7 linked regions of the Kluyveromyces lactis genome follow. The protein of the gene in region 4 binds, or shares a complex with, the protein of the main gene of each other region. Links are inferred from orthologs where the notes say so. Each region holds a gene or a part of one and is shown on either strand. Other genes may lie near its edges.

Region 1 (3,531 bases), on a different chromosome or scaffold from region 4:
ACCACTGGTTGGCTGAATTGAAACAAAATGCCGATGAAAATGTCGCTGTTGGACTCATTGGTAATAAATCTGATTTGGATCATAAACGTGCGGTTCCAACAGATGAGGCTAGGAATTATGCTCAAGAAAATCAACTTCTTTTCACGGAAACTAGTGCATTGAATGCTGACAATGTTGACGAAGCGTTCAGAGCATTGATTACTGCTATCTACCAAATGATTTCCAAAAATCAACTAGACTTGAATGACGCCTCAGGAAACAATGCCAACGCTCCAAAGGGACCTACGATCTCTTTGACACCGGCACCAAACGAAAAACACAAAAAGAGTACAAACAACTGCTGTTAGGAATTCTAAACGTGTATTATGGTCATTCCTTATAGGGTGTTTATATAGAAAGTATAAGCCCCGGAAAGAAAAAGGGAAGCAGAATTATCATCGACTGGGACATTTATCCCGATTAAGTTAGACACTTGTTTTATGTATATAACATTGACTGCCATAATTATGCAAATACTAGCTGTTTGGAAGGACATCCTGAAACTTCTTAACTGCAAAATACCTTCTCAGTTCATTGCGTCGTATCCATTGTTCTTTTAAATGAAACACTACCATAATGTCAAACATGGAGATTTAGTGAAACTACAAACTTTTATATGCGCTTGAGTAAATTTTTAATTCAAATTTCTATTTGGGTTCAGTCGGACTAGCAGGGGCAGGGGCAGGAGCAGCTGGATCCTTGAACTCTTCGTCATTTTCTTCATCGTCTTCATCATCATCATCATCCTTGCCAACCTCACCATTTTTTTCCAATTTCTCGGCAGTCTTTTTATAATCAATAATCTTACCACGAGTTCTCCTACCAGTAGTTATAATATTGGAACTATCGATTTCTGAAAGGTCGTCTTCTTCTTCATCTTCTTTTACCATCATTTGATCTAATTTTTCGTCATCGACTTCACTTTCACTATCTTCTTCCTTGTTAGCACCAGAAGTAGCAGATGCCTTGTCTTCTTGAGCAATTTTTTCATCCAAATCATCATAGTTTCTTCTTCTTCTCTTCTTTTTAGATTTCTTATCGTTGGCATCAGCGGTAGAAGCAAGCTCACTTTCAGCACTTCTTTTAGCTTGTGAAGCAACGTTGGAAGAGTCAGGCTCTTCTGCACCTATTTGAAATTCTTGCTTATCCTTAATTTCTTCAGCCATATTTGCAAACTTTGTATCTGTTGATATGATTAGTGTGCTGATGTTCGAGGAGTACGACCTAGGCTCACGCAATGCTTTTTTTGATCTAAAGATGCTTACCAGTATTTGTTTCCTTTTCGCATCTTGCGAACCAAATATAATTCATATTATCTCAAATCCCAAAGAAACATAATTTTCCACGTGATCATTTTTTTTCATAGCCGCATAGTGGATGAATTCTAACTATCATGTTGTATCGAAAATTAAAACATTAACTAGTTTCACGATCAATGAGTAACTTGCGTTGGTCCTATAAAGAATCACTGCTACGGACCGCTTTTTTGTGCATGATATAAGGATACCTCTTACAATCGAGTTTACAGTCTTTTTCACTTTCTTTGTTCACCAAGAAGAATAGTTATATCTCTAAGCATATCATACAAAAGATACAAGGACGATGTCGCAAGTTGAAGTTAAAAAGAAGGAAACGAAGCTATCAGATTTGATAGATTATAGAATACGAGTCGCTACCCATGACGGAAGGGTTTATATTGGCCAACTTATGGCTTTTGATGCATATATGAACCTTGTAATGGGAGATTGTGTAGAGGAACGCATGCCTCATAAACAAATCATAGAAGTACTTAAAAGTGGAGGAAACTTGTCAAGCAATGTGCAAGTCGAAAGAAGGACTTTTGGACTAATAATTTTACGGGGTGAGCATGTGTTGAGTACCTCGGTTGAGTCACCTCCCCAACTCTCTAAGAAGGAACGAATCGAAGTCCAGAAGAAGAATGCAAAAAAATTAGATAATGCGAAAAAGGCTCGTCAAGGGAAGACTTCTAACAAGATGAACGTTGGAACGAATGGATCTAATATAACTTCAACTAACTCAGAAAGTTCAAATAGAGTTACGAAGCCAAGTCATAAACCTATCAATACGAATTCTGGAGCTCCCAGTAGGTTTAATTCTAATAGTCAGGTACGCCCCAGCCGGTTCCAAGCCCCTCCAGGCTTCAAAAAAAGAAACTAAACCAGCGAACAACTTGTCATACTTATTGATATAAAAAAAATTGTTTTGGTGCTACGATCACCGATCTTAGCTATAATTATCCGAGACATGTTGATAGATATGTCTTTAGTTACCTCTTACGTACACGCAGAGGACTTTGGATATCCCACTGTAACGACTAGAACAAGAAGATATAGAATTTATCTAGCTTTATCCAGTGTAATGATATCCCTGTACTGCGCAACGTTAAAAGCCTGTGCGAAATATGATTATCCACCTCATTCCCTTTTCAACCACCCCACCAAATGCCTATACGAAACCTCCAGATATACCCCATGACCCCACCATAGCCCTGCGGACAAAAGAAATGTTATGTGTTAAATATGGCTTCCAACTGGACAATCATGGTGCGGAATATCTCTCAGCTGAGAACGGGCAAGAATTAGAGTTTGCAAGTTTCGCAAAAACAACAAATATATCGCATGCCACGATATCATGAGTGTGTGTTTTTTTTATAGGAATCCGGAGAAATAGTCCTACTGATTGTTCAAGCATCCCGGAAAAACCACTTCGAGATTTTCCGTGTGAGGCTTCCACTAATTTCCCCCAGAAATTACCATTGATTGTTTCGGAAAAATTATTCTCCCTGGAGTAATCTACCTGAATAAAAAAAAAATCTTTGTGCAAATTCAAGCTCCGTTGCTTTCATAGAGTCTCGTCATTAATTTCTAATTGTCCAGCTGTTCAGTCTTTGTCGTAAGATGGTGGAAATCCAACCCACTTTAACTTACCAAAGCACCGTAATCATCATCATCATCATAATACACCGTGTACTTAAATATACATACATATATATATATGGGTAGTTACCACGATTTGTCATGTCTTCCCCCCACTATCTTTCTTTCGTCTCTTTCCTGAATCGTTTAGTTCCTATTAACTTAAATGTGAAACATAATCCTTTCAAAAGCCTTATCAGGAAAGAGAAGATCCATCACAGAGTGAACTACTAGCCAGTTATACGATACAATATCCACCAATAAAGTCCAAAATAACAATAAATCACAAAACATAACAAACAAATTAACATGTCAACACCAAAAGAGTGCAACGACAGACCATATTTATGTGAAATTTGTGGGAACAGATTCCATAGGTTGGAACACAAGACAAGGCATATACGAACACACACAGGAGAAAAGCCTTTCGCATGCACGGTTCCTGGTTGTCCCAAGCGATTTAGCCGAAATGACGAATTAAAGAGACACATCAAAACACATTTCAAATCAAGAAAAAGAAAGCCAAGAACCATTAGACCTAAATCCAGATCATCCA
Region 2 (4,488 bases), on a different chromosome or scaffold from region 4:
ATTGATACGGTACCGGAAGCTAATCCGAAATCAGTTAACTTGATATGTCCCTTTGAATCAATTAAAAAGTTTTCTGGTTTTAAATCTCTGTGGGTGTAACCCAATTGATGCAACGCGTTTACAGCGCAGAACATCTCACTGATGTAAAACCTGGCATGTGGGGCCTGTAAGAATTTTGTATTGAGCAGTAACGTTCTGAAGTCACCACCTGGCACAAATTCCATGGCAAGGTATAAACTTTGAGGGTCTTGGAAAGCATACAACAATTTCACTAACCACTCCGATCTTGTCGTAGTTAAAATGTCTCTTTCAGTCAAAACATGGTCTGTACCTTCCAGTTTCATCAAAAGTTTCTTGTTCAAGATCTTTAGCGCACAGATCTCCTTGGTATCCTTCTTTCTAGCAAGGTAAACTTGTCCATACCCACCCTGTCCAACTTGTGTAATCATTTCGAAATCCTTATGTTTCGGTTTCAAACGTCTTTTCCTTAGAATATTCGTCTCTTTCGTCAGATAACCCTGCCATTCGTTGGTAATTTGCTCAGTACCCATCAGGTTCGACCTTCTTTGCTCTTCCAAATAGTTGATCACTTGTCTGGTACGTTCTCTTCTGCTAATCACATAGTCGAACATATCACAATAATAATCCAAGAAATACATCTGACACACGGAAACCAATCTCTTGGATTTAGTCTTTGAGGACTTCTTATAGAAATCTTTGGGTAGTTTCTTTGGCGACTTGGTAATGTCTGCCGTCAAATCTCCCTGAGTATCATCGTCGATATCCATGAGCGAGTTTTCAGGGTTTTTTACTATCGATCTAGTAGGAGACGGAGAACCACGTATTCTCGTTGGAGTGCTTGGGGGATCTAGCATAACTTTAGCATCCGTATCAAAACTGAAATTGACCATATCGTCGACCAATGCGTCGACCTCCTTGTGACGACCATTCGCATCTCTTGTAAACATTTCTTATTTTAAACTGTGTGATTGAAGTATGTAAATAAAACCGTTAGTGCTTCAGGTCAGACACGTTACTTCTGACTTGACACAATGAATTATCGGCAGATCTGATCGAATAAGAGACCCTAAAGTTCAATGGTTAAGTTGTGTTCTTTGTTTAAAGTTTTCAATTCGAACATTGGATCATCTTTTTGTGTTTTGGTTTTGCCATAATAGGAATCGTAATTACAGATCTATGAATAGACATATACAGGGTATAAAAGGTACACGGCAGAACTATGGTGTCTCACAACCGTGGTTGTTTGCTGGTGGCGGGGTCCGTAGCTTGTGGGTGCTCTGCACTACGTTTGAGCTTTTCGGACCTCTCATCCTGTAGGAAACTGTGCGTGTTTTTAGTCTCTTGATCTAATCTTAAACGCATAGATTTACGCATTTTGGTCTTATTGAAAGAGGACAATGCGGAAACGTTCTTTGAATCGGCCATCCCGAACCCTATTTCTTCTCCGTATGGGTCCATGGTGGTCTGTTCCTCTTTACCGAACTCCATTCTGTTTTGCATTTGCCTTAGATGCGACATCTTGAACTGTTCTTTGTACTTACGGAACCTTCTACCAGCTCTTTTCTTCTTTGGAGCGTCTTCTGGGATCGGCAACGGCTTGATGTTACTGATATTCGGCGGATCTATTATCTTCTTGAGTTTTTCAACGATTTCATGCCTCCATTTCAAGCCCAGCTTCGAGGCATCTGAGTTCCCATCTGAATTCCCATCTGGGTTAATGACTTGATTCCCCATGGTGCAATCCGCTCTCGCAGCAAGAGCAACCTTGGCAGAGACCATTCTAAGCGCCTGTTTCTGGAACTCAGGAGGCTGTGTTTGTACCACGTCTGTATAGAATAGATATCCCTTTTGTCGTACCCCAGAGATATCTAACGATTTGCCATGCAACGTTTTGTCCTGGCCAATGGATGCCAAATTACAACTGGGAACCACACTTAGTTCTTTAACACTACCACAATGTGTTACCAGTTTAGCTGCAGTATCAGGTCCCAATAAAGCACATAAGTTTGGAGCTACCATTTGTATTCTTGTCTCAACATAGTGTGAGACGTTGTCCCGTAAGTTGTACAGAATATCGAACCAATGGATGGCCTTGGAGAGGAGATCCTTATCAATTCGAGCACCCTCTTTGAAATCTGTCTTTAGAGACATAGATACCACAAGGGTTTCCTCCTTCGATAGCACTTGGTCTAATTGCACGTTGGGAATATCCTGTTGCAGCATCTTGACCACGTCGACGTATTGTTTCCTTTCAGGGACAATAGTTTCCAACCCAGGGAACTTGGCCTTGTAGGTATCTACAATGCATTGAAACACCATGGAAAGCTCTGTATCGAATAAAGGCATCAATTGGCCCAGTTTTATGACATTGTAAGGCTCTGTCGTATGGTTTGTTGCATCTCGTATTATAGTTTCGTGCTTGGCAAGTTGGATGAGGTCATCTAAATCCGCGCCTTGGTGCCAGAATTGCGCGTGAAAGTCAGATATTAGGTTGCTAACACTAGGAGAGGGTAAAATATCCGATTCTGTGGCTATACCACTGGTTATACCACTGGTTACACCACTTAACCCATCATCCAAGCTTTCCTCATCGCTGACACTTCCATAATCTTCGTCATCTAAAAGGTCCATTATCACCTTGTGAAAGAGTAAGACAGGGGAATATGGTTATCCAGTTACAATCCAACTGTAAAATACCACATACTGAACTAACTGAGGATGGTCAAAAGAGCAGTAATCGACTAGTACCTGCTCTCGAGTAGCTATCTCATCGCATTTCTACCAATCTTTAATCATATATAATCACTCTATACGATGTGATCTTTTCTTTTCCAAAAATTTTTCAGTTCTTTAAAGCGATGAGATGAGCTTGAGATGAGGTATCTACACCGATGAGACGGACCTTGACCAGTGTCATAGGGCTTTTCTGAGGTCGTTTGAGAGCTCAAGAGGTAGCATAAACGTAGCAATACAATTGAAAAAGGATGTCCAATATCGTTGGTGTTGAATATAACCGTGTGACGAACACAAGTTCAACAGATTTCCCTGGATTTAGTTCGGATCAAGACAATTCATGGGACTTGGAGAAGTTCAAGGAAACTTTTGACGTACAAATCGAGAGTTTGGATGAGCGTGAAGTGAATTTCGATTTGGTTCATGTCGACACATCGATTGCTAACGCTTTCCGTCGTATTATGATCTCAGAAGTACCATCTGTCGCTCCAGAATACGTCTACTTTTTTAACAATACGTCTGTGCTACAGGACGAAGTGTTGGCGCATAGAATCGGGTTAGTGCCATTGAAGGTGGATCCAGATATGTTGAGTTGGGTGGACACGTCATTGCCCGAATCTGAAAGGTTTACAGATGAAAATACGATAGTGATGTCGTTGAACGTGAAATGTACCAGGAACCCAGATGCTCCAAAGGATTGTGAAGACCCCAAGGTTCTTTATAGAAACGCGCATATCTATGCTAGGGACCTTAAGTTTGAGCCTCAGGGGAAACAGGTGGAACAATTTGCCAAGTGTCCCGTGGTGGCAGCGGATCCAGATATCTTGTTGGCCAAGTTGAGACCAGGTCAAGAGATTTCGTTAAGGGCACATTGTATTCTAGGTATCGGTGCAGACCATGCCAAGTTCTCTCCGGTGTCGACAGCTAGTTATAGACTATTACCACACATCCAGATCACACAGCCTATCACCGGTGATGATGCCAAGAAATTTGTGAAATGTTTCCCTAAAGGTGTCGCAGATGTCAACGAGAAGGGTGAAGCTTATATCAAGGATCCAAGGAAGGATACCGTGTCCAGAGAGGTGTTGAGACACGATGAGTTCCAGGGGAAGGTTAAGTTGGGTAGGGTGAGAGACCACTTCATCTTTAACGTGGAGAGTTCTGGTGCTATGACACCGGAAGAAATCTTCTTCAAATCGGTCAGGATCTTGAAGAACAAGGCGGAATACTTGAAGAACTGTCCAATCTCACAATAAGAAGCCAATTCGCATGTTCTCTATTTAATATCATCCACTCCCTTCCATACACAGACAAACCGTGCATCATAATTCCATTTCTTTCATTCCCTGTATCATACGCATTAAGCCACTCAGTGAACAGATTAGGCACTTATATATATTCATATATAAAGAAGCCACTACATCTAAACTAGTTTAATGTACATTTGTTTTTAGATTCAACTGTGTTACACCATCGCATCTACATTTGTCGGTTCAAACGTCTCCTGATCCTGCGCCATTGGCCGTGCTTTGGTTATAAGATTTTCGATCATGGCTTTTGGATCCACTTCGAGTATCAAGACGTTACCATTATATCCGTCACTCAGATCACTCTGGGCTTTCTGTGTATAGGTTTCGTCCGCGACTTCGTGATCTTTGAATGGTGAGATGGATAGTACAGTTACGAGGAATAGCCCTACTTGAAAGAATAGAATTAGCAGTTGGTAGAAAAGGT
Region 3 (3,397 bases), on a different chromosome or scaffold from region 4:
TGACAATCATTGAAATTTTATTCCAACTGCCTGTGGCCATATATTGCTTATACCAGCTGCTAAACTTGTCAAAGTCAAAAACTATCAAAAGAACTTTATTCACAGTGGACCGTCTATCTAAATGCTATGCATTCAATGTCATCACCACCACTAGTTTTTGTATATGGTACGTTTGGGCCTATGGGTACTATCCAGCCACGATGAATACCGATCACGTGTCATTGAGTAACCCGGACAAACTGGCGCTAACGATGGTCTACGTTCCTTATGTTCTAATTCCAGCATTATTCTTTGTATAGGCACAATGATTAAATATGAACCATGATAAAAGAACCTTTATAGTCTCTTTGTTACATCAACAATTGATATTACCATTCATTTCTACCATCATCCTGCCGTTAATTGGAATTCTTACCATGTCATTACCAGAAGGATACACAATTAGAAGAACCAAGAAAGATGATTTTTCTGGGGTTACATCTGTGCTGAAAGTGCTAACGATGGTTGGTGATGTGAGCCAAGATCAATTCCATTCACTAATAGACCATTGGGATTCAGTCACGATAGGAGATATACCTATGTACAATAGCACTGTGATCGTTGACACAAATGGGGAAGTTGTCGCCACAGGAAACGTGCTAGTCGAGAAAAAAGTTATTCACGAATGTGGGCTTGTTGGTCATATTGAAGACATTGCAGTGAGAAAAGATCAACAGGGGAAGAAATTGGGATTGATATTAATTCAGTATTTATACAAATTAGCTAACGAGTATGGATGCTATAAAGTTATTCTTGATTGTGATGAAAGTAATGTTGGATTCTATGAGAAATGTGGATTGAAAAAAGCTGGTGTCGAAATGCAAATCAGATTCGACAAATGATGTTGTAACCAGTGTGCGCTCTATCATATCTATCCTTCCTTTCTACTAGCATAATTCATTGTACGTAAATGTCACTAAGTAAAGTGTTCCGACACATTGAGTTGTATTTGTCTCCCTTCTGCTCTTACAAACTGTCAAGAGGTTCTATCGATACAATGGAGTTACCTCTAACAACAGTCTGGGGTCCCATTTGGACCTCTCCTTCTTCGAAAATCTGTATTGGATTATCCAGTACTAAGTTCAAAAATGCATCATATCCTCGTAATATTCCAATAATTTTCCTATTGCCGTTAAGCTGTAGAATGAGTTTCTTGTCCATGTACTGTTTGCAACGAATCATATTATAGTTAGTAATTTAAATTCTGATAAGATTTTTCCTGGAAAACAGGGGTAAACATACTTTTCTCAAATCTGGAGATGTCATGGAATATTGGATGGTTTATAATGGGTCGTACGGAAGTGATAAGTCGTAGATATAGTCTCTTAACTCTTGGCAAAAGTCCTTCGAAATTTATCTTCAGTATATTTCAATTGATGAATTTTGTACATAATTATGCTTTTTCCATTCAAAAGTAATTTTCAATGTCACAATGTTAAGAAGACAACGATGGTCAGAATAAGTTACTAAAGCATATCGACCCTTACTGAAAACATTCGTTGTCATTGGCATGAATTTCAATCCCGAGCTAAATATGGTAAGTAGGGATAACTAGTAAGAGAATATCAAAACGATAAGTATTATGCGCTAAGTGCAATTATATATATATATAGGGAAATTGGTATTTACATGATGTTAAAGGGTTTTATAAAATAATGTGCAGTATATGCAATTACTGGCTATGACTGCTGTAAGTGGTACATGAATAATGAGAATGCCAATGTCGTAATTAGTTCATCCAATCAAAGAATTATGAAAGAATGAAGGTGGAATGTATGACGGGAGAGCATATATGCGATTTAAGGATTTCATTCCCCTCTGATCTTCTTTAAAGTGTTAGACAAGAAATTTTCCAATTTCTTGATGGTTCCTTCATTGTTTTCAACTGTGTCTTTATCAGCAGAGGAAGAGTTGTCCTTAGCCGACGATCCAGAGGGAGTAATGGTCCTTCTTGCAGTGGTATCATTGGTCAAGTGGGCCAAGGTCTCCCATAGATAACGTTCTGTTTCATCCTTTGGTTTTTTGATAACAATCTTGAACTTGACAAGCATGTCACCCCTGTCACCTCTAGCTCCACGAGGGACACCCTTATTTGGAATTCTGATGACTTGATCGTGTTGAGTACCAGAGCTGACCTTCAATCTGATCTTTTCTTCCTCTACGGTGGGTACTTCAATGACGCCACCTAGTGCTGCCGTTGTAATTGGGATTTCCTGAGTGTAAATGATGTCGTAATTATTTGAAACTTGGAATCTTGTGTCTTTCCTGACTCTGACACGAATCAACAAATCGCCTCTGGTTAAATGCAATTCAGATTTCATGGACGGATCGATAGCCATACCGGGGTAACTACCTTGGTTAGGTACTCTAATTGTGTCACCGTCCTGAAGTCCGTGAGGTAAGTCTACGGTGATAGTTTTATTTGAATTCAATTTGAAACCGTGGCTATGACAGGTACCACATTTATCGCTGTCCTTAATAGTTGAACCCTCACCATCACATGTTTGACAAGTAGAGGCCATTTGGAAACCTGCTCTTACATGTACCTGAGTACCTGTACCATGACATGTAGGACAAACACTTCTCGAATGTCCAGCTTTCAACCCACTTCCATCACATGACGAACACGGATCGTAGCATTGGTAATTCAATTTGACATTCTTCACACCGAAGACGGCATCTTTGAAGGATACTTGGAATGGTACAGTGACATTCTCACCTTTATATTCACGGACAAAATCGGAACCGCCAAATCCTGCTCCATGCGAACCAGCTCTCCTGCCTCCGGCACCACCACCACCACCACCACCAAACGCACTTCCGAAAAGATCTTCAAAGTTCAATCCACCGAAATCGAACCCTCCAAAGCCTCCGAATCCTTGTGCACCACCAGCACCAGCACCGCCATAGGCACCGCCTGGTCCACCGGCACCACCAGCTTGGCTGAATGCAGCAGCACCGAATTGATCATACTGTTTCCTCTTATCTTCATCGCTTAATATTTCATACGCGTTTTGCAAATCATGGAACTTCTTCTGAGAGTCTTCTTCCTTATTTATATCCGGATGATACTTCTTGGCCAGCTTGTAGTACGCTTTCTTAATGTCGGACTGACTGGAGTTCTTGTTAATCCCAAGGACCTTATAAGGATCCTTAAACTCTTGTCTTAGAAGTCTTGCCGTATGGAATTGACGTGGGTATTGTAATAAATATCTCTTAAACATATGGATATGGGGAAATGAGTTTTTTCTGTAACTCCCTAGTACGTATTTGATCCTATTAAATCTCGCCTTGTCCGAATTCTCTCTAAATGCGACTGGCAGCGTACTTTTTTCAAACAAAGCTAATGATTAGAGCC
Region 4 (5,202 bases):
TGATCCTTGCTGCTTTATGTGAATTTTTGGGGGCTGTCTTAGCGGGTGCTAGAGTCTCTGGTACCATCAAGAACAATATTATTTCTGCTTCACCTTTCGAAGATGATCCAGCTGTGTTAATGTTAACTATGGCATGTGCTCTTGTCGGTTCTGCCACTTGGCTTTCAATTGCGACATCTATTGGTATGCCAGTGTCATCGACTCATTCTATCGTTGGTGGTACCATCGGTGCCGGTATTGCTGCCGGTGGTGCCAAGGGTGTCCAATGGGGTTGGGGTGGTGTTTCTCAAATTATTGCTTCTTGGTTTATTGCTCCAATCTTAGCCGGTTGCTTGGTCACTATTATTTTCTTGATCTCCAAGTTCCTGGTCTTGGATGTTAAGCCAATTGAAAAAGCTATTAAGAACGCTTTACTACTCGTCGGATTTTTGGTGTTCGCTACCTTCTCGGTGTTGACTATGTTGATCGTTTGGAAGGGTTCTCCAAACTTGAAGTTGGATAAATTGTCTGGCACAACTACCGCATTGGCTATTGTTCTTACTGGTCTAGTCGCTTGTGCTGTTTACTTCATCTTCTTGTACCCATACTACAGAAGAAGAATCTTGCACAGAGACTGGACCCTAAAATGGTATGATATTTACAGAGGCCCAACTTTCTACTTCAAGTCCACTGACGACATTCCACCTCTACCTGCTGGACAATCTTTAACCATTGATTACTACGAAGGTAGAAGATTCGAAGATGAAACTGCCGGAGATGATGAAACCCAAATTGAAACTTCCCACACCGCCGATGGAAGAGATACTGTAGAGGGACATATTGAAATTAACGACAAGGAATCTGTCAACCAAAGTATCAAATTGGTGCAAACAGAAACTTTGCAAGAAGAAAAACCAACTACCAAACAGCTATGGTGGTCATTGCTAAAACAAGGACCAAAGAAGTGGCCTCTATTACTTTGGTTGATTGCTTCTCACGGTTGGACTCAAGATGTTATTCATTCTCAGGTCTACGATACAGGTGCTTTGTCAACAGATTTCAAGGACATGTACAAGAGATCTGCCTTCTATGACAACAGAATCGAATTCATCTATTCTATCTTGCAAGCTATTACCGCCGCCACTATGTCTTTTGCTCACGGTGCCAATGATGTTGCCAACGCCACTGCACCACTAGCTGCCGTGTATGACATCTGGCAGAAAAACACTGTGGAATCTAAGTCTGACGTTCACACATGGGTTTTAGCATACTGTGCCGCTGCATTGGTCCTCGGTTGTTGGACATACGGTTACAGAATCATCAAGAACTTGGGTAACAAGATGATTTTGCAATCTCCATCCAGAGGGTTCTCCGTTGAACTTGGTGCTGCTGTTACCACTGTTATGGCAACACAATTAAGTATTCCTGTTTCTACTACTCAAGTTGCTGTCGGTGGTATTGTGGCCGTTGGTCTTTGTAACAGGGATTTGAAATCCGTTAACTGGAGAATGGTCGCTTTCTGTTACAGTGGTTGGTTCTTAACTCTTCCAATGGCTGGTCTCATTGCAGGTATCTTGAACGGTATCATCTTGAACGCACCACGTTACGGTGGAGATTACCAATTATCATAATCATCAGATTGATATTTTCTTTCTCATGGCCTCAGCGCCTTTTAGGAACTTTCATTAATTAATTGTTTGTGCACTAGCTAGATAATAGTTTATCTGCTACAAATATAGAACATATTCGGTATTATAGATTCTGCAAATTTCCTCATATATTAGCCTGCATATTTAATTCTTTCTAAGCAGAATCGATATTTATTTCTATCAACGCTTATTCTCTATTGTTTTAAGAATCTGTAGAATATCTTTAAAAACAAAACCTTTAAAATTTGTATCGAAAGGACATCTCATACAGTAAACTATTCACTAGTAAATCATCTGAGTAAACAACTATCACGGTGATAGGCATGGAGACTCCCAGTTTCCTAAAACAATCTCCACCACCTGGTTACATCGCTGGTATAGGTCGTGGAGCGGTTGGCTTTTCCACCAGAGGAAGTAAAGATGATAAAAGAGTTCCTGCTAGATTGAATAGATATGGGCGAGATGCACCAGATACTTCTGTAACAAAGAATCCAAATAGATACAGATCAGCAGTTTCGAATGAATCATCGGAGAAACAGGTTAAAGATGAAGACGAACAAGAGATGAGAGTGTACGAAAAGATCGAACAGCGACTTAAGAATAAAAAAATTATCGACAATGAAACAAGCCTAAAGACGAAGCCAGATGATGAACCAGACAAGCTATCTTCTAAATTTGTAGATTTGAAGCGTAATTTAGCAACTCTTTCTGAGCAAGACTGGCTGGATATCCCTGACGCATCTGATATGACCAGACGAAACAAAAGGAATCGAATAGAGGAACAACTTGAAAGGAAAACATTCGCTGCTCCTGACACTTTGTTCCAGGTTAATGTCAACTTATCCAAGTTAACTGAAGAGAGGGAAAAGTTACTTGCTGTCCAGATAGATAAGAGTTTTGATTACAGCAAAAGTCAACTTACGGATGATGCTGAATACTTGAATAGAATGAACCAAGATGACAACACTATTTCATCTACGGATTTGGAAGACATTAGGAAAAACAGATCCCTATTAGCCGCGTATCGTAAATCCCATCCAAGAAATCCAGAAAACTGGATTTCTTCAGCAAGAATCGAAGAAAGAGCCAATCAGTTCAATCGAGCCAAAAGTTTGCTAGCGGAAGGTTGTAAACTGTGCCCTAAAAGTGAAGCTATCTGGTTAGAATCGATACGCATGAACGCATCCGATAAAGAATATTGCAAGAGGTTGGTTACAGTTGCCTTAAGGCTCAACGAGTTTAGTGAGCAGTTGTGGTTGAAGGCAATCGCCCTCGAACAACACAATACTGATAAAATTAAAGTCACTCGAAAGGCTCTAATTAAACTACCACTAAGCTCTATATTATGGGAAGTGGCGGTAAATCTTGAAACTTCCACTCTTGAAAAGCTGAAAATTTTGAAGAAAGCAGTTGAATTAGTGCCGAAGGATTCGCAGTTATGGTTGAAGTTGATAAGGTTACAATCAGTCGAATCTGCAGTGGACACCTTGAAATCTGCTGAAGAACATATTAAAAAAGACATCACATACTGGCTTCTCAAATGTCAACTCGAAGAAAAAAGAACGACCGCAAATCTCGATACGTTGGTAAATATCATTTCTAGCGCAATAAAGGATCTTCATGAACTGGAAGTTAATCCAACTATTACTGAGTGGTTCGAAAATGCAGTCGCTATATCAACAGAAGGATTGTATCCATTAACAGCGAAAGCAATCATCACAGCTACCATCAATAACTTATTTGAAGACGCATCCTCAAATTTCCAAAGTCTCTCGAAGCTGTTGGTAAACGACACCACACTTCAGTGTACCTTGTTTTCCTCCTTCCTAATCAAATATCCAACAAAGTACTCTATTTGGAAGGAGTTCACCAATTTCGCCGAAGACTTTTCGCGGAAATTAGAGCTACACGAAACATTCAGGAAGATCCTCTTTACAGATTCTCAAGCGGTAAAGAAATACCCTGTCTTGGTTTTAATGTATGCGAAAGACGTTTGGGATTGGGGTTCTGGTTCCACTGAAGCGTTGTCGATTTTAGATAAAGCTCTGGTGACAAATTCGGCGTATCCTGAGTTTTGGTTGGCTAAACTCAAAATTTTGAACAGAGATGGCAAATTGGATGAGATTATAAATTCCTTTGAAGAAGCCGAATCACACTTGGTAGAATGCATTGATAAATTAGTTCCTTTTTACGTTAAGTGTTTGCAATCTAAAGGCAGTTTGGAAATAGCTCATTCTACTGTTGATATAGCTTTGGCACGTGAACCAAACGACAAACATTTACTAATCTTGAAAGCACAGCTATACAGGCAACAAAGGGACCTTTCATCAGCGAAGCGTGTGCTACAGAGGGCTACGGATATTTCTAATCATGATCCAGAAGTGTGCTTGGAGTTCTCCAGACTGGTAATGGAAACACAAGATTGGGGCAAAGCGCGTTCAATACTCAGCGTTTCTCTACTAAAGAATCCAAAATCCGATACACTCTACGAGGCTCTCATTACATTGGAACTGCAAGTGAAAGATAACAAACAAGTAACGTACCTCATCGCTCAGGGTCTCAAAGCGTGTCCACACAGCTGGAGGCTCTGGTGTCTAAACATCAGAACCCTTCCTAAAAAATCACTACGTAAAACCACATTCCAAGATGCTCTCGAAGCTACAAAAGAGCATCCAATGGTGATAACTGAGATCGGAAAAGTGTTCCAAAAGGAACACCAATACGCGAAGGCATATAAATGGTTCATAAGAGCCTCGGAAAATAATCTTCAATTTGGGGACCCATGGGTATGGCTCTACATCTGCGAGTCGTGCATGAATCCAGTTGATTTGCAAATAAATGAAGAAAAAACGTTAAAGAAATTGAAAGAAAATGAACCCAGGTACGGTATACTATGGGAGCCCGCAGTAAACTCATACCTACACATATCAAACTCTCCGATTGATATTTTGCACAGCATTATCAACAATTTACACCAATAATTAGATAGAATGTAAGATTGTAAGATTGTAATAATAAAAATTGGGACAACACTGATGCGACTGTAAATTGACTTTCCGCATTGTCAGAAGTTCCGTTCCTCAATCGTAACTAACCCAGTATATGCGGCAGTTCTGTGTATTTTTCCGTTGTGATCTGATTCTCTGCTATGAAAGAGTCAGCTCTTATATCTATCAAAGAGAACTTTTTCCAGTGGAATTTGAAAATTTGAAAACGAACAACCAAAATGGAACTTCGAAATTGCGAAGAGTATTGGTAGTCGACAGGGATCGGAGGTGAAGTGAAAAACATCGATAGCAGCTGTTGAGAGTCTTAAATACCCGCCGAGGTCCACGTCATTTTTACCAGGGAAGTTATATATATATACTGATAGGTCAGAAAAAGTATGTCGTTCGGCAAGGGACGCAATGAGAGTTTGGATTGTCTCACTCCAGCATCGTATGTGTCTCAAGGTGCGGCACCTGAGGCACCAGCACCGACCCAAAGTGTCAGGGCAAGCCAGCCGCCACTATTCCCAGCTAGTAGCAGACATATTCTGTCTCCTTCGACGTTACTAGCGCATCCAAGTCCGCAT
Region 5 (3,216 bases), on a different chromosome or scaffold from region 4:
CACGTAAAATGAGATAAATGGGTCTTTTGGTAGGCAATGAGCCTATCAAATTATAAAATGTCACTGCTTTTTCGTAGTTTATAATTTGATCTTTAACAGTTGGTTTGAATAATTGATTCAAAGCTTCCGCTGTACCGAATTTTTGAACAATGTATTTTTCCACAGGAATGAAGTAGCTGTTAAGCTCTTTAGCGGGGGTCTCATCTCCTGTCTGATCTTTCTTATACGATTCGAGACATTGACCAACTATATTGGATAACTGTTCAAGGTCCGGCAGTATCTTGCCCTCAGTATCCCTAGAATTTGCTGTTTGTCTCAAAACAACAGTCACCTCACATATTGTACATTTGAACTTAACTGCGTCTATAGGATGTCGTAACAAGGTTCCGCAACATCTACATCGAGTTTCCCTAAATTTTGGCGGGTCTTCACAATCCAACCTATCCGAACTTTGATAGCGGATTTTTATCTTTTCCCTACCAACAATGTGTAATGGGTTAAACTTGAACATATTCGAGCAGCTACTGATGGACAGTCAGACTTCTTCCTCTAAGTTCATTTCAACAAACTTGTAAATTTAGGGTTGGATAGTCGAAAGCACAAAAGATTGTGTCAAATTTATTACTTTTTTTTACCAACTGACAATATCATCTGGAATACACAGGCCTGTAACCATTTCTTAATTTGAACAGACAAAAAAAAACTATGTACTGACCACTAACTAGAACCATCAGATGTTGATGTCATTGTTAAGAAGGATGCAAATGTATCAAAAAGTTGTATTAATTGTAATATATATGTTTAATATACAGAGGTCGTAAAAAAAAAATCTACCTGTCGATCACTTGAATCAATGAACGTGCAGTAAATCTTTTCTTTGCTATGCAAACCCCCCACAAAGCGGTTAACTCCTTAAACGATTGATATAAAGAATAAGAAAAGGAAATCACGAAATGTGCAAATCCTTCTTAAATCAACAAAGTTTCAATCTTGTCCTTAACGGCATAGATTTGGCTTTTGATAGCAGAAGCATCGTTAGTGGTAATAGAAGCAGCAATAACTGGTCTGGAAACACCACAAGCTCTACCCAAAGCAGTTCTGGATGGAACAAAGACGTATGGAACGTTCTTATCTTCACACAACAATGGCAAGTGCAACAAGATTTCAATAGGTTCACAGTCAGCAGCCATGATAATGAATTCGGAAATACCACGGTTCAAAGTCTTGGTAGCTTCGTTAGCACCCTTCTTCAATTGTCTCATGTTGGAAGCTTGTTGAACAACATCCAAGATTTGTTGGGACAAGGTGGCATCAGCCAATGGGAAAGCCTTTGGGTTTGGAGCAGACATTATTTCTTTATAATATGAAGTGAAGTATCCGATTGGGTCAGTTCAAGTTCCTTGCAAGAATGAAAAGCTCGCTTGAATCTGGTGTTTTAAGACTAGAAATAAGATCGGATCAAGTCCAAGTCTAAAAAAAGTTTTATCATAAAGTGAGATGAGATGGAACGAGATGAGATGAGGTTAGTCTCTTGAAATCATTTTCTTTAGTTTTTCAATTTTTGAAAATTTTCGAATTCCTCGACTGATGAGCAAAAAGAAACAAATGGGATCACAAACTGGTGTAATGTACGGCTGTTTCACTATATTAATTCAGAAGAACGATATACATTCCTCCTATTGTGATCATTTGGCCATTCTCCGCCATTGCTATAGTACTCTATTATGGTCTAAAACACGCAGTCTGTAGTTGTTGTTCCCCATCGTATGCTTCATACTTCCCCAGGAAGAGCTGCTTTCACTCTCAGTTCTTTACCTAATTTCAAAGGTGCATATTTCTTTGTATTGAAAAATGTACGTATTACAATATGTAAATTTATCAACTCATTTATGAATAAACTCATAGTATTGCCCTTGACTTAGGTATGACCCAATTGATGAGCAATAGCTAGCTATGACTGACCAAGAGGTAAATGAGGAGCAGGCTCTGCGAAATATACCAGAAGTCGGTAATTTCGATAAGTTCACTTCTGTGGATTGGATTGAGGAAGAGAAGCGTGAATTGTCCAAGGGAACATCGCATGACGAATTTGATATACCGCGTTCGAGTTGGTATGAGTACCGCAGGTTAATATGGAAAAGAGGTAGCAGTTTCATTACTTTGACTGCCATTGGGCTTTCCATTGGCGGTATTGCTGGTTTTTTACAAATATTCACTGAATTGTTAGTAAACTGGAAATCTGGACATTGTGCTAGAAATTGGTTGTTAAACAAGGCATTCTGCTGTCCTAAAGAAGAGATCAGTAAAAGGAGTTATGGTTCCATAATAAGTTCGGCTGGCAATGCCGCAGAAATATTCTTTAAAAGATCCCAAAGCGAATGTATCGAAAAAGGTATTTGGGTAGAAGCAACCAATCCAATCTTTTCATTTTTGCTATTCATGTTCTTATCGGTCACATTTGCAACTATTAGTTGTCTGATGGTCCTACACATTGCACCGTTTGCCACTGGATCTGGTATTTCAGAAATTAAATCCTGGGTATCAGGTTTCCAATATACCCCGGAGTTTTTGAATTTGAAGACCCTTATAGTAAAATCTGTCGCTTTACCGCTTGCCATTTCTTCTGATTTAAGTGTTGGTAAAGAGGGACCATCTGTTCACTATGCTACCTGTTGTGGTTATGTAATTACTAATTGGCTCTTGAGCAAGGAGATGGCCTTCCCAGAACAATCCGAATACTTGACAGCTTCGACGGCAGGTGGTGTTGCAGTAGCTTTTGGTGCACCTATTGGAGGTGTCTTATTTGCACTTGAAGAGATGTCAGCTTCTATTCCTTTCAAGTTATCTGCCTTGTGGAAGTCGTATTATATTGCTCTGGCAGGTATTTCTGCTCTACAATATATTGATCCATCTAGAAATGGTAAGATCGTTGTTTTTGAAGTCACCTATGATAGAGAATGGCATGTGGAAGAAATCCCAATATTCATCCTTCTTGGAATTTTTGGTGGTTTATATGGCAAATACATAAGCAGATGGAATGTGCATTACGTTTCTTTTAGAAAGAAATATCTCTCAAGATGGCCGTTACAGGAAGTTGTCATACTAACGTTTGTTACTGCCATTATCTCTTATTTCAACGAGTTCTTGAAACTTGACATGACAGAATCTATGGAAATTTTATTTCATGAGTGTCAAACTAATGAGAAAGGATCATTA
Region 6 (3,587 bases), on a different chromosome or scaffold from region 4:
TCAATATAGCTTGCTGGAGAAGATCCGGAATGTTATGACATTTTAATTAGGATTGCTTCTTTGTTTCACTACGAGGCCTATAGCCAATCTCATCAGTAGCTATCTGCTGCACTATACAAAGATCAAGGCCGATATGTTCGTACGCGCTGCACCAAGATTATTGAAGTCTCCGGTCATGCGCCGGATGCTGTCTGGAAAAATGGATAAAGCTGAAGAACCACCAAGTTTTAAAACCATTTTACTTGTTGGTTTAGTTGGGACTGCTATTTTTGTTAAGGCAGTCGACTCTTTGGAACAGAACAAGCCTAAAAACACGTACACATTCTCTGAATTTGACACTGTGATGAGTGGTCTAAGAAGAAGAGTTTCGATCTTTGAGCAAGATGATTTAAATTTAAGATGTGTGCAAACCGGAGTTGCAACCAAGAAACTGAAATTCCCCGAAGATGCGAAGGTTATCAAACCTTCAGAAGCTATTGAATTCTTCAGAAATAAGTCTGACGATAAATATTATGTGCTTTTAAATGATTTATATGAAAAGGAGGGGAAATCGTACATGGAAAAACTACCAACAGGTCTCTCTGTCGTCTTGATAGGTAAATATATGAAGGAGAAATGTCAAAAGGGTGACACTGTTTATCTACTTGACTTCCCAGACAATATAAAAGATGCGATCAAGTTCGAAAATGAGGTTTCCGTTATCGACAAAGTTATTGTACCAAATTCAGAAGGAGACGGCCAGGTTTCCAAATACTTTAAAACCGTGGATAAAGTTGAGACCATCTAAAATGACCCCTCATGCCATTTTCCCCATCGGCACCCTTTTGCATATATCTGGGGACTTCCTATAACAATCCATCCAACTTTATCTCGATTAAACTTTGTAAATATCATCAGTATCTAATTGCCATTCAGCAGAAGTACGTTGTGAATAGTGGGATGTAGATATGCTTCGAATAAAAACGTCAATATTTATGTTATTTCTTGGAACTTCCGAATTCTGTGAAACCCATTAACCTGCCGATTTCAGACTGTGGTTGATATTTGATTTCTGCATCAGATTTCTCACATTTGACTCTCTTTGCCGCTTTGCGTTTATTGGATCTCAATTCAGTGTCCCCGATAAATGCTGATACAGATTTATGAAACTGGGATCGTACCTCATTAAGTGGTACTAGATCATTATCCCTCGTATCTTTTATCAATGGCTCGTTGAATATGTTCTCAAACCGTACAACATGTGATTTGTGATTCAAATGGTTAATGAATTGTAGTGTGTCTTTGAAGGTTAAGTCACATATGTCACAGTAAAACCCGAACTGTTTACCTTTTTTCTGCTGACTTAGATTGGCTGATAACGTCTTTTTATTGATGTCGCGTAGATTATACTCGAGTAAAGCATTGTAGTCTGTGTATCTATCTTTTAAAGCTTTCAGTTGTTCCTGGTCTAATGATGAAAGATGAGATTGCCCTCCTGGAGAAGTTGCTGCCTTGGCAGCATACTCTTCTCTATTCCATGTTCTTCGTCCAAATGACATATTGATTTATAGTGAATAGTACTCCTTCTCAGAACTCAGTACCTGATCTCTTCCTAGGTCATGGAACTTATTATGCATGTCAACATTAAATTAGTTGATGTTTTCCATATTGGATCTTTTAAGTCATTTCATCTCAAAAGAAGGCATAAATGGAACTACAAATTAGTAAAGTACAAGAGTATTTCAAAGGAGTCAGCCATTGTCATATTAATTGTAACAGTTTGCTATCATGTCACAGTCTACTCATAAGCTTACCATTCTCCCTCATATCATAAAATGGGTTCCCAAAGATCCCGCCCCTGTAAGGAAGGTCATCTCATTTGACCTTGATCACACCGTGATCAAACCAGTTAAAGGCCGATTCAGTAGGACATCAGATGATTGGATATTCATGAAATATGGAAAAACCGAGGTACTTGCTAAACTTTCGGCACAAATGAAGGAAACACCAGATTTTCACATCGTCTTCTTCTCCAACCAAGGCGGTGTTGTTAGTGAACCTAGAACCTCTAAAAGCTGCGTAAAACACGTTGATAAAATTTGCAAAGTATTGAAATACATATCGGAAAACGATTCTCAACTGTGTGATCGTATTTGGATTTACTGTGCTACTAAAAAACCAGCTTCCCTTTTTGGTGGCAGCAAAGCCGCCAGCACTGCTCACGCAAATAAAGTTGTTAAGAACATTATTTCTGGCCAGAAGAAAAGAATAAACGGGACAATGGTAACACCTGAAATGTTTGATAATGTGAGAAAACCCAATCGTGGTTTGTTTGATGAATTTCTTAAAGATTCTGACGAACAATCGGACTCAATTGAACTTTTATTTTACTGCGGGGATGCTGCAGGAAGACCAAATGATTTTAGTGACAGTGACAAAGAGTTTGCTAAAATATTGGGCGTACCTTTCAAGGTACCGGAGGAATACTTTATTTGAATTTCGAATGATCTTAAACCTACGTAAAATATATTTATTTACTAAGTTACTTTAATGATTGAAGGATGAGCGTATTATAATGAATTTTTAATTTTAGTATAATACAGCGGCTTTTTCAAAGAGTTGTTCTACAACTCCATTGAGTTGATTGATCAATTCTAACGAAGAATCATAAGTGGCATCCTGTTGTGGTGTCTCATAAATATAAAGCCATCCGTTTCCTTGGTCAAGCACACCAAAGAAAACTTTGTCTAAAATCATTTGTGAAAGTTTGCCCTCTACTTGTTGAGCATCAAGCCCGATAATCTTTGAGATATGCGATACTTCAACACATTCGAATGGTTCGATGATCTTACTAAGATTTGATTCCAAAAGGGTGTCGTATAATGCATTGAAATGTGATCTAATGAGTTCATCGCCCATCAATTCTGTCTTATAATTTTGCATTGCTGTATTGAACTCCAGTAGGGATCTATTATTATAAGCCTCAGCGACTGCCTTCATGGCGTCAATTCCGCGACTTTGGTAGGTCTCCTTAGTATATTTGGCGTTCAAGATAGTTTTCACTTCATCAATCAAATTAAGCATGATCTTTGAAAGAAGCATATACTTTAGCACTTGACAAGCTTTTCCGAATGTGTTTGAGCCAGTTTGGCTGTGGAAGGCTTCAAAGGATTCATAAAAGTATGAGAAAGCAGTCTTATAATCTTTGTCTTCACAGTGTAAGATACCACTCATTAAATCCAATTCTGCCATTGTCAATGTTGGACAATAAATCGAATTTGCGGATGTTCTAGCACTTGTCAAAGCAGCCTTTGATTTAGTCAAATTTCTTAATTTATGGTACACTTTACATTCCAATAGATGAACTTCGAGCAAAGACGATTTATCGTCCAATTTCTTAAACTGCCTCAACAAATCATTGATCAATTGCAAGGATTCGTTGTAATGCGTCTTTTGGTAGTAAAGAGTTGCCAACCTAATCGATAGAGAATGCTTTAAAAAGATTCTCTTCTCCTTTGTGGCAAAGTCGATCGAATCTTCGCATATCTCGATTTGGGTATCCAAGGAATCGGGTATCAATTCGAAATCGTTAAGTAACGTCTTTAAAA
Region 7 (5,406 bases), on a different chromosome or scaffold from region 4:
CCAACTTCTCAAGATCTAGACGATCTTCTTCGTCACTCTCATTATCAGATTCTTCTTCTTCTTCTTCTTCCTGCTCTTCTTCCTGCTCTTCTTCCTCTTCTTCTTCTCCCTTCTTCGAAGGCTCCTCGGCTTGCTGCTTCTTGGACAGCTTCTTCAACTTTCTCTTCTCTTTTCTGGACAAAGCGTGGCTCTCGTACTCGCCGGTTACCCCCTCTTCTTCATCTTCTGATTCAACTTCTGGTTCAACGTCCTCATCAGCTCTCAAGTCATCCTTGGTGACTATCACTGGCTCCTCGTCCTGAGCATTAGATGGACTTGGTTGTTTGGTCTTTTTGGATGTTACCTTCTGTTCGCTTTGGTCAATAGCCTTACGACGGTGCAGAAGCTCCTTCAACTTGAATCCTTTAACCATTGTTGCCGTTTTGCGTACCTATATGCCTTAGATTGAACAAGATCTAACCCTCACCCGTCAAGTTACAGCGCCTCATCTCATCCATCTCATCTCATCTCATCTCTTTATATTGGAAAATTTTTAGCCTTGATGCTTTGAGAAAAAGAAACGCCTCGAGACTTATAACCATTCTAACATATAGATTCAAGAGTTAACGGTTTATATATATATATATTTATCTGGGTGTGTTTGAGTATACTATATGTTACTTGCAGCTACTAATGCGTCAGTGACCGAATTCTATGCGGAGCCTATACAAATCGTTTTTGTTGCAACTTCTTGAATAGATCTTGATCAATGTATTTCTTTAATGATGGCCCGTCTTGAGTCATGTGACCACTTTCAGATAAACCCTTGCGACGTCTTGTCTTCATCACAAAGTCCCTGCTTAGGCTTGCAGCAGGCGCTGGTTTCAACTTCGGTATGAAGGCTTCTTCGTCAAGTACGTCACCTGGCACTTTTCTCCATATTTTATTCCAAAAGTGCATTTGACACATTCCGCTACCGGCGGTCGCAACACGAAGATCTGTCTCAAATCCAATCGACTCGATGACAGGTAATTGAGCCTTTATTTCTATGAATGGTGATGCCACTATCTTTTCTGTCTTGTAAATTCTTCCACCTCTGCGTCTCTTCAATAAATTCTGAATCACAGACTCCAATACCCCCGATACGATAATATCGACTTCATAGATGGGTTCCATGATAATTGGAGTAGCAGACATTAGCGCAATGTAACATGCCTTTCTCGTCATTGGCACTAGTTGAGATGGGATGATATCTTCGATGCTGTCTTCTTGTACCTTGAATTGCAAGAGTTTAAATTGGCATGCATGGATTGTTTCATCAGCCAATGGTCCTTCTTTCACAGCCCATTCAAACCCTTGTAAAATGTTTTCTTTATATTTCTTGAGTAGTTGCTTATCCGTTTCATCAGGTAGAGTATCGTCAATGAATACATTACATTTTGATAAATCCCAGCAGTTTCTAGCTGCCAATGAGTCCCATCCATACTCGGTTCTTAGACGTTTGGAGAACTTTCTCATGTTATTCAATTCTGAACTGTCGATTTCACCATGCGTCAAATCGTGTACTATCTTTCCATCTAATTTTTCGGCCATAACGCTGAGTGATACTACACCGTTGTTTGACTTTACAGGAATTGACGCGAACGATTCGTTCTGACAACTTTCCGTGAATTGCACAAGCGGTTGGCTTACTTTGATCTCAATTTCACAGAATTTTTTCCGTAATTCGTCCATCACGCAATCAAGGTAAAGTTCTCCTGTTCCAATTATGATGTTTTCGCCGCTTTCTTCAACTCTAACCACTAATGCAGGGTACAATTCGTTTGCTTGTTGAAGACCGTTCAATAGTCTCGGTAGTTCACTTGGTTTCTGAGGCTGTATGGCGAATTTGAACACCGATTCGTTGAGATAGTTAATTGGTGCTAGCGGGTTCATCAAGCTCGAAGACAAAGTTGCATATTTCGTATACTGATCTTCAAAACCTTTTAAAAGTACAATCTGTCCTTTTATTGCTTCCTCGAGTTCGTAGACATACCTACCTCCCATTAAGGCTACACGCTCAATAGTAACCTTGGAGTATTCATCATCACCAAAATCTACTACAGAGTCTACGGACTCATTGAAAATATAGAGTTTGTTGCCTTTTTTCACTGAGCCCTCTATTATCCGACAAAGGGACCACTTGGAACCTTCCAGGCTCATGTGTCTCAATACATGTACAACAGTGCTTTCATCGGATGATAAGTTGTTGATTTTGTGGTCCTGTGTTGAAACAATAGCATCGATGAAGCAGTGATAGTGCGGTAGTATAGCATGAAACACGCTAAAAAGTAGCGGCTGAGGATCCTTTGATAGAATCTCATCTGAAAGCCTGATTTGAAAATTGGTTTCGATGACTGTTCTTAGTTCTTCCTCGGATGCAGATAATGTATGAGTGAAAACCTTGTATAAAGGTTGTAAAATAAACTGAATGAATGCAATGTTGTCCGTAATAAATTCTGTTTGGTAGAATGCTCCTTCTCTGTAATTAATTTGACCCCAAAGTTGAGCAGCAAATTGTTCTGTCTTATCCTTTAACGATTTAGCGTAAAATGAGTTCACAAAAGACTCCACAGAGAATAAGAATCCAAACTTGGTACTGGCAAAGAGTACATTACCTAGCTCCGGTGAGAATCTTTCTTTGGTATATGTGTTTATTTCGTTCACGATATATTGTAGTTTGCTGTATGCGTCTGTAGGAGGAAGTCTCAAATCCAAAATTAATCTATCAATTTTGTTAAGAACGATGATAAAGGGGATCCCATTACTTATCAATTCTCTTATCAGTTTGGAAACTACAGAAGTAATTCCTTCTATCACATCAACGATGATTACACCATATTGGCAAGCAGTCAAAGCAATACCGACATCGTCCCAAAAATTTACATGTCCAGGTGTGTCCAACATCGTCACTGCATACGTACGTCCTCTTGACGATTCATATGCAAACGACATACCATTCAATCTAAGCGAAATACCACGTTCCTTTTCTATCCTCGCTTGGTCGAGGTACCTAAACGGTACCCATCCCTCCTTAACTTTTTTTGTCAAGGACGGAAGATTGCGATGAGTATCTAACGCAAACATATCCGTGAAAGAAGTCTTACCACAATGTAGCGCCCCGAAAATTCCAACATTTAACTGACGTTCTGGTATCGAGAAAAGGCTTTTCAAGTACCCTCTGTCAAATAGTGCTTTAGGTACTTTCCTGTTAACAGCTTCGCTATATGATTTCGAATCGTCCCCAATCAATGGTTTCTCAGGTTCTCTATCTTCCACTTCCAACAAAACTTCAACATCATCATCGAAATCACGGTTCACATCTCGAAGTACCACATCGGTAGAGTCAGCCTCGACTATCTTTTGCCGTAATTCATGTTGAGCTTCCTGCTCTCCTACTTCTTCCAAACTATCATCATCAGAATCGATTAATTGCATTGGATCCCCAATGAAATTACCGAACTCATCGTACAAATCTTCATCCATTATTGTATTTCCTTCCAAAAGTACTCAGTGCTGAGTCACGTCACCCAAATCGCAGTAGTCTTCCCTAAGAGCAATGCATGTGCTTATCATTCTATCTTCATTACTCGAAGCTTTGACTTTCGTCAACATTTACATAATGTCTAAGAACTGAAAATATCGATGAGCCCTCGAAAAGACAGACATTTTGCCAAGACGGATGCCGAAAGGGTTCTAGGAAATAAAAAGGGTGAGCTTACCAAGGGGTCACACAGAGCCGAACTGCATTTTGAAATGCCTGAATACATCTGGCTTTCTAATCTTAACGGGAACATACACATTCCCGAGCGATTGTTGTCTTTATTGAACGAGGAAGACCAGGATATTCCCGATGAGGTTAAAGAGTTTACATATGTACAGCAACTTGACAAGAATTTACTTTCGCGGACTTCTGTTATTGGTCTAGGGTTTGGGTTGATGAGTCCCGTACTTGGTATGAGCACTACTATGAGTATTGGATTGCTAAATGGTGGATCTCCATCGATAATATTTGGGTATCTGATATGTGGGATAATGACGTGGATTAGTTCACTGTCGCTCAGTGAGATAGTCTCGAAGTACCCCATAGAACTTCACGGTGCAGCGGCCATGCTTGCGCCTGGCAGACTTCGGTTGCGTATGTCTTGGTACTGTGGTTGGCTAATGTTGTTTGGAAGTTGGACGATGAGCACTAGTATTACGTTTGCGGGTGCACAATTGATTATTTCTTTGCTGACAATGACTAATGAATCTCTGATAGACTCCCGGTGGTTGACGTTATGGACTGTGCTAATGTTTTATCTCATTGTGACTGTGGTTGGAGTCATTAATCTAAAATTTTCAAGTTTCATTGAAACTATCAATAAGGTCTGTGTTTACTGGATCTTATATGCGATATTATTCACAAGTACACTTCTCCTATTATTCCAACCAAACCATAGATCATTCAAGGATGTCTTTACCAAATTCGATAATAGTTTGTCGGGGTATAGTTCTATGGCCTTGTCATTTTTAATTGGAGGGTTTCAGCAATCTAATTTCACTTTCCAAGGGTTTGCGATGTTATCGGCATTATCTGACGAAACTGAGAAACCAGAGAAAGATATTCCTTACAGTATGACACGCTCTGTGATAATCTCACTAGTTTCCGGACTATTTTTCTTGATCCCAATGATGCTCATTCTACCTGATGTCTCTGAGGTAATGAATCATGAAGGTGTCATGCCCATCGTGCTTATCTTCACAAAATCTACTAAATCGTTATTCGTTTCCATCTTCCTTGTTCTATTGATCTTGGGAAACCTATTGTTTTCAGGTATTGGCTCGGTGACTACATCTTCAAGAGCACTGTACAGTTTAAGCCGTGATCGTGGTATTCCATATCATCACCTCTGGACTTATGTGGATCCTGCGTCAGAATCTAAGGTCCCTAAATACTCCGTCATGTTGTCTATGGGAGTTTCATATGTATTGGCACTCTTAGCTTTAATATCAACGGCCGCATTCAATGCATTTGTCGGGTGTGCTGTCCTATGTTTGTGCTCTGCGTCAATGTTACCGATCTTATTATCGTTATACCATAGAAGAAAATTGGTGAAAGGTTCAGCATTCAGAATTAAATACAGGTTAGGTTACATCACGAACTGTCTCACCGTAATATGGTTACTGTTTACTATGGTTATCATCAGTTTACCGCAAAAGGTTCCAGTCACTTTTAGAAGTATGAACTATTCAAGCGTTGTATATTTCCTTTTCATGATTATGGTCACTGTCCTTTACGATAGATGGGGCATATATAATTTCCGTGCACCATTGGTGGGAGAGTAACCCATTAAATGCAACTGTAATACTTTCTAATGGAATTGCAGGGCTGGTACCTAGAAGAAG

The links.
Region 1: PRP6 (region 4) and SMB1 share a complex: the UniProt entries of both Saccharomyces cerevisiae proteins name them as parts of the U4/U6-U5 tri-snRNP complex. The link is inferred for Kluyveromyces lactis from reciprocal best matches to the Saccharomyces cerevisiae genes PRP6 and SMB1.
Region 2: PRP6 (region 4) and PRP31 share a complex: the UniProt entries of both Saccharomyces cerevisiae proteins name them as parts of the U4/U6-U5 tri-snRNP complex. The link is inferred for Kluyveromyces lactis from reciprocal best matches to the Saccharomyces cerevisiae genes PRP6 and PRP31.
Region 3: PRP6 (region 4) and SMX2 share a complex: the UniProt entries of both Saccharomyces cerevisiae proteins name them as parts of the U4/U6-U5 tri-snRNP complex. The link is inferred for Kluyveromyces lactis from reciprocal best matches to the Saccharomyces cerevisiae genes PRP6 and SMX2.
Region 5: PRP6 (region 4) and SNU13 share a complex: the UniProt entries of both Saccharomyces cerevisiae proteins name them as parts of the U4/U6-U5 tri-snRNP complex. The link is inferred for Kluyveromyces lactis from reciprocal best matches to the Saccharomyces cerevisiae genes PRP6 and SNU13.
Region 6: PRP6 (region 4) and SNU23 share a complex: the UniProt entries of both Saccharomyces cerevisiae proteins name them as parts of the U4/U6-U5 tri-snRNP complex. The link is inferred for Kluyveromyces lactis from reciprocal best matches to the Saccharomyces cerevisiae genes PRP6 and SNU23.
Region 7: PRP6 (region 4) and SNU114 share a complex: the UniProt entries of both Saccharomyces cerevisiae proteins name them as parts of the U4/U6-U5 tri-snRNP complex. The link is inferred for Kluyveromyces lactis from reciprocal best matches to the Saccharomyces cerevisiae genes PRP6 and SNU114.

The regions. Positions count from the first base shown.
Region 1 is NC_006038.1:47,209-50,739, reverse strand, and holds SMB1 (mRNA splicing protein SMB1), read left to right. Parts: upstream 1-1,641; coding exon 1,642-2,217; downstream 2,218-3,531. Other genes in the region: Rab family GTPase YPT31, read left to right, coding at 1-347; CHZ1 (Chz1p), read right to left, coding at 687-1,205. UniProt on the Saccharomyces cerevisiae protein: Plays a role in pre-mRNA splicing as a core component of the spliceosomal U1, U2, U4 and U5 small nuclear ribonucleoproteins (snRNPs), the building blocks of the spliceosome.
Region 2 is NC_006040.1:1,252,545-1,257,032, reverse strand, and holds PRP31 (U4/U6-U5 snRNP complex subunit PRP31), read right to left. Parts: upstream 2,653-4,488; coding exon 1,249-2,652; downstream 1-1,248. Other genes in the region: KLLA0_D14905g (serine/threonine-protein kinase), read right to left, coding at 1-968; DNA-directed RNA polymerase core subunit RPC40, read left to right, coding at 3,006-4,010. UniProt on the Saccharomyces cerevisiae protein: Promotes the association of the U4/U6.U5 tri-snRNP particle with pre-spliceosomes to form the mature spliceosomal complex.
Region 3 is NC_006040.1:658,045-661,441, reverse strand, and holds SMX2 (mRNA splicing protein SMX2), read right to left. Parts: upstream 1,306-3,397; coding exon 1,282-1,305; intron 1,204-1,281; coding exon 1,006-1,203; downstream 1-1,005. Other genes in the region: EMA19 (Ema19p), read left to right, coding at 1-299; GNA1 (glucosamine 6-phosphate N-acetyltransferase), read left to right, coding at 315-881; MDJ1 (Mdj1p), read right to left, coding at 1,848-3,263. UniProt on the Saccharomyces cerevisiae protein: Plays a role in pre-mRNA splicing as a core component of the spliceosomal U1, U2, U4 and U5 small nuclear ribonucleoproteins (snRNPs), the building blocks of the spliceosome.
Region 4 is NC_006042.1:395,660-400,861, forward strand, and holds PRP6 (U4/U6-U5 snRNP complex subunit PRP6), read left to right. Parts: upstream 1-1,951; coding exon 1,952-4,609; downstream 4,610-5,202. Other genes in the region: PHO89 (Pho89p), read left to right, coding at 1-1,610; LYS14 (Lys14p), read left to right, coding at 5,014-5,202. UniProt on the Saccharomyces cerevisiae protein: Participates in pre-mRNA splicing. Part of the U4/U5/U6 tri-snRNP complex, one of the building blocks of the spliceosome.
Region 5 is NC_006041.1:2,008,295-2,011,510, reverse strand, and holds SNU13 (RNA binding protein SNU13), read right to left. Parts: upstream 1,350-3,216; coding exon 969-1,349; downstream 1-968. Other genes in the region: putative E3 ubiquitin-protein ligase HUL4, read right to left, coding at 1-511; GEF1 (Gef1p), read left to right, coding at 1,954-3,216. UniProt on the Saccharomyces cerevisiae protein: Common component of the spliceosome and rRNA processing machinery. In association with the spliceosomal U4/U6.U5 tri-snRNP particle, required for splicing of pre-mRNA.
Region 6 is NC_006041.1:138,456-142,042, reverse strand, and holds SNU23 (U4/U6-U5 snRNP complex subunit SNU23), read right to left. Parts: upstream 1,539-3,587; coding exon 978-1,538; downstream 1-977. Other genes in the region: AIM36 (Aim36p), read left to right, coding at 134-787; TPP1 (polynucleotide 3'-phosphatase), read left to right, coding at 1,768-2,475; proteasome regulatory particle lid subunit RPN6, read right to left, coding at 2,569-3,587. UniProt on the Saccharomyces cerevisiae protein: Participates in pre-mRNA splicing. Part of the U4/U5/U6 tri-snRNP complex, one of the building blocks of the spliceosome.
Region 7 is NC_006037.1:603,109-608,514, reverse strand, and holds SNU114 (U5 snRNP GTPase SNU114), read right to left. Parts: upstream 3,505-5,406; coding exon 703-3,504; downstream 1-702. Other genes in the region: EBP2 (Ebp2p), read right to left, coding at 1-412; TPO5 (Tpo5p), read left to right, coding at 3,664-5,346. UniProt on the Saccharomyces cerevisiae protein: Component of the U5 snRNP complex required for pre-mRNA splicing. Binds GTP.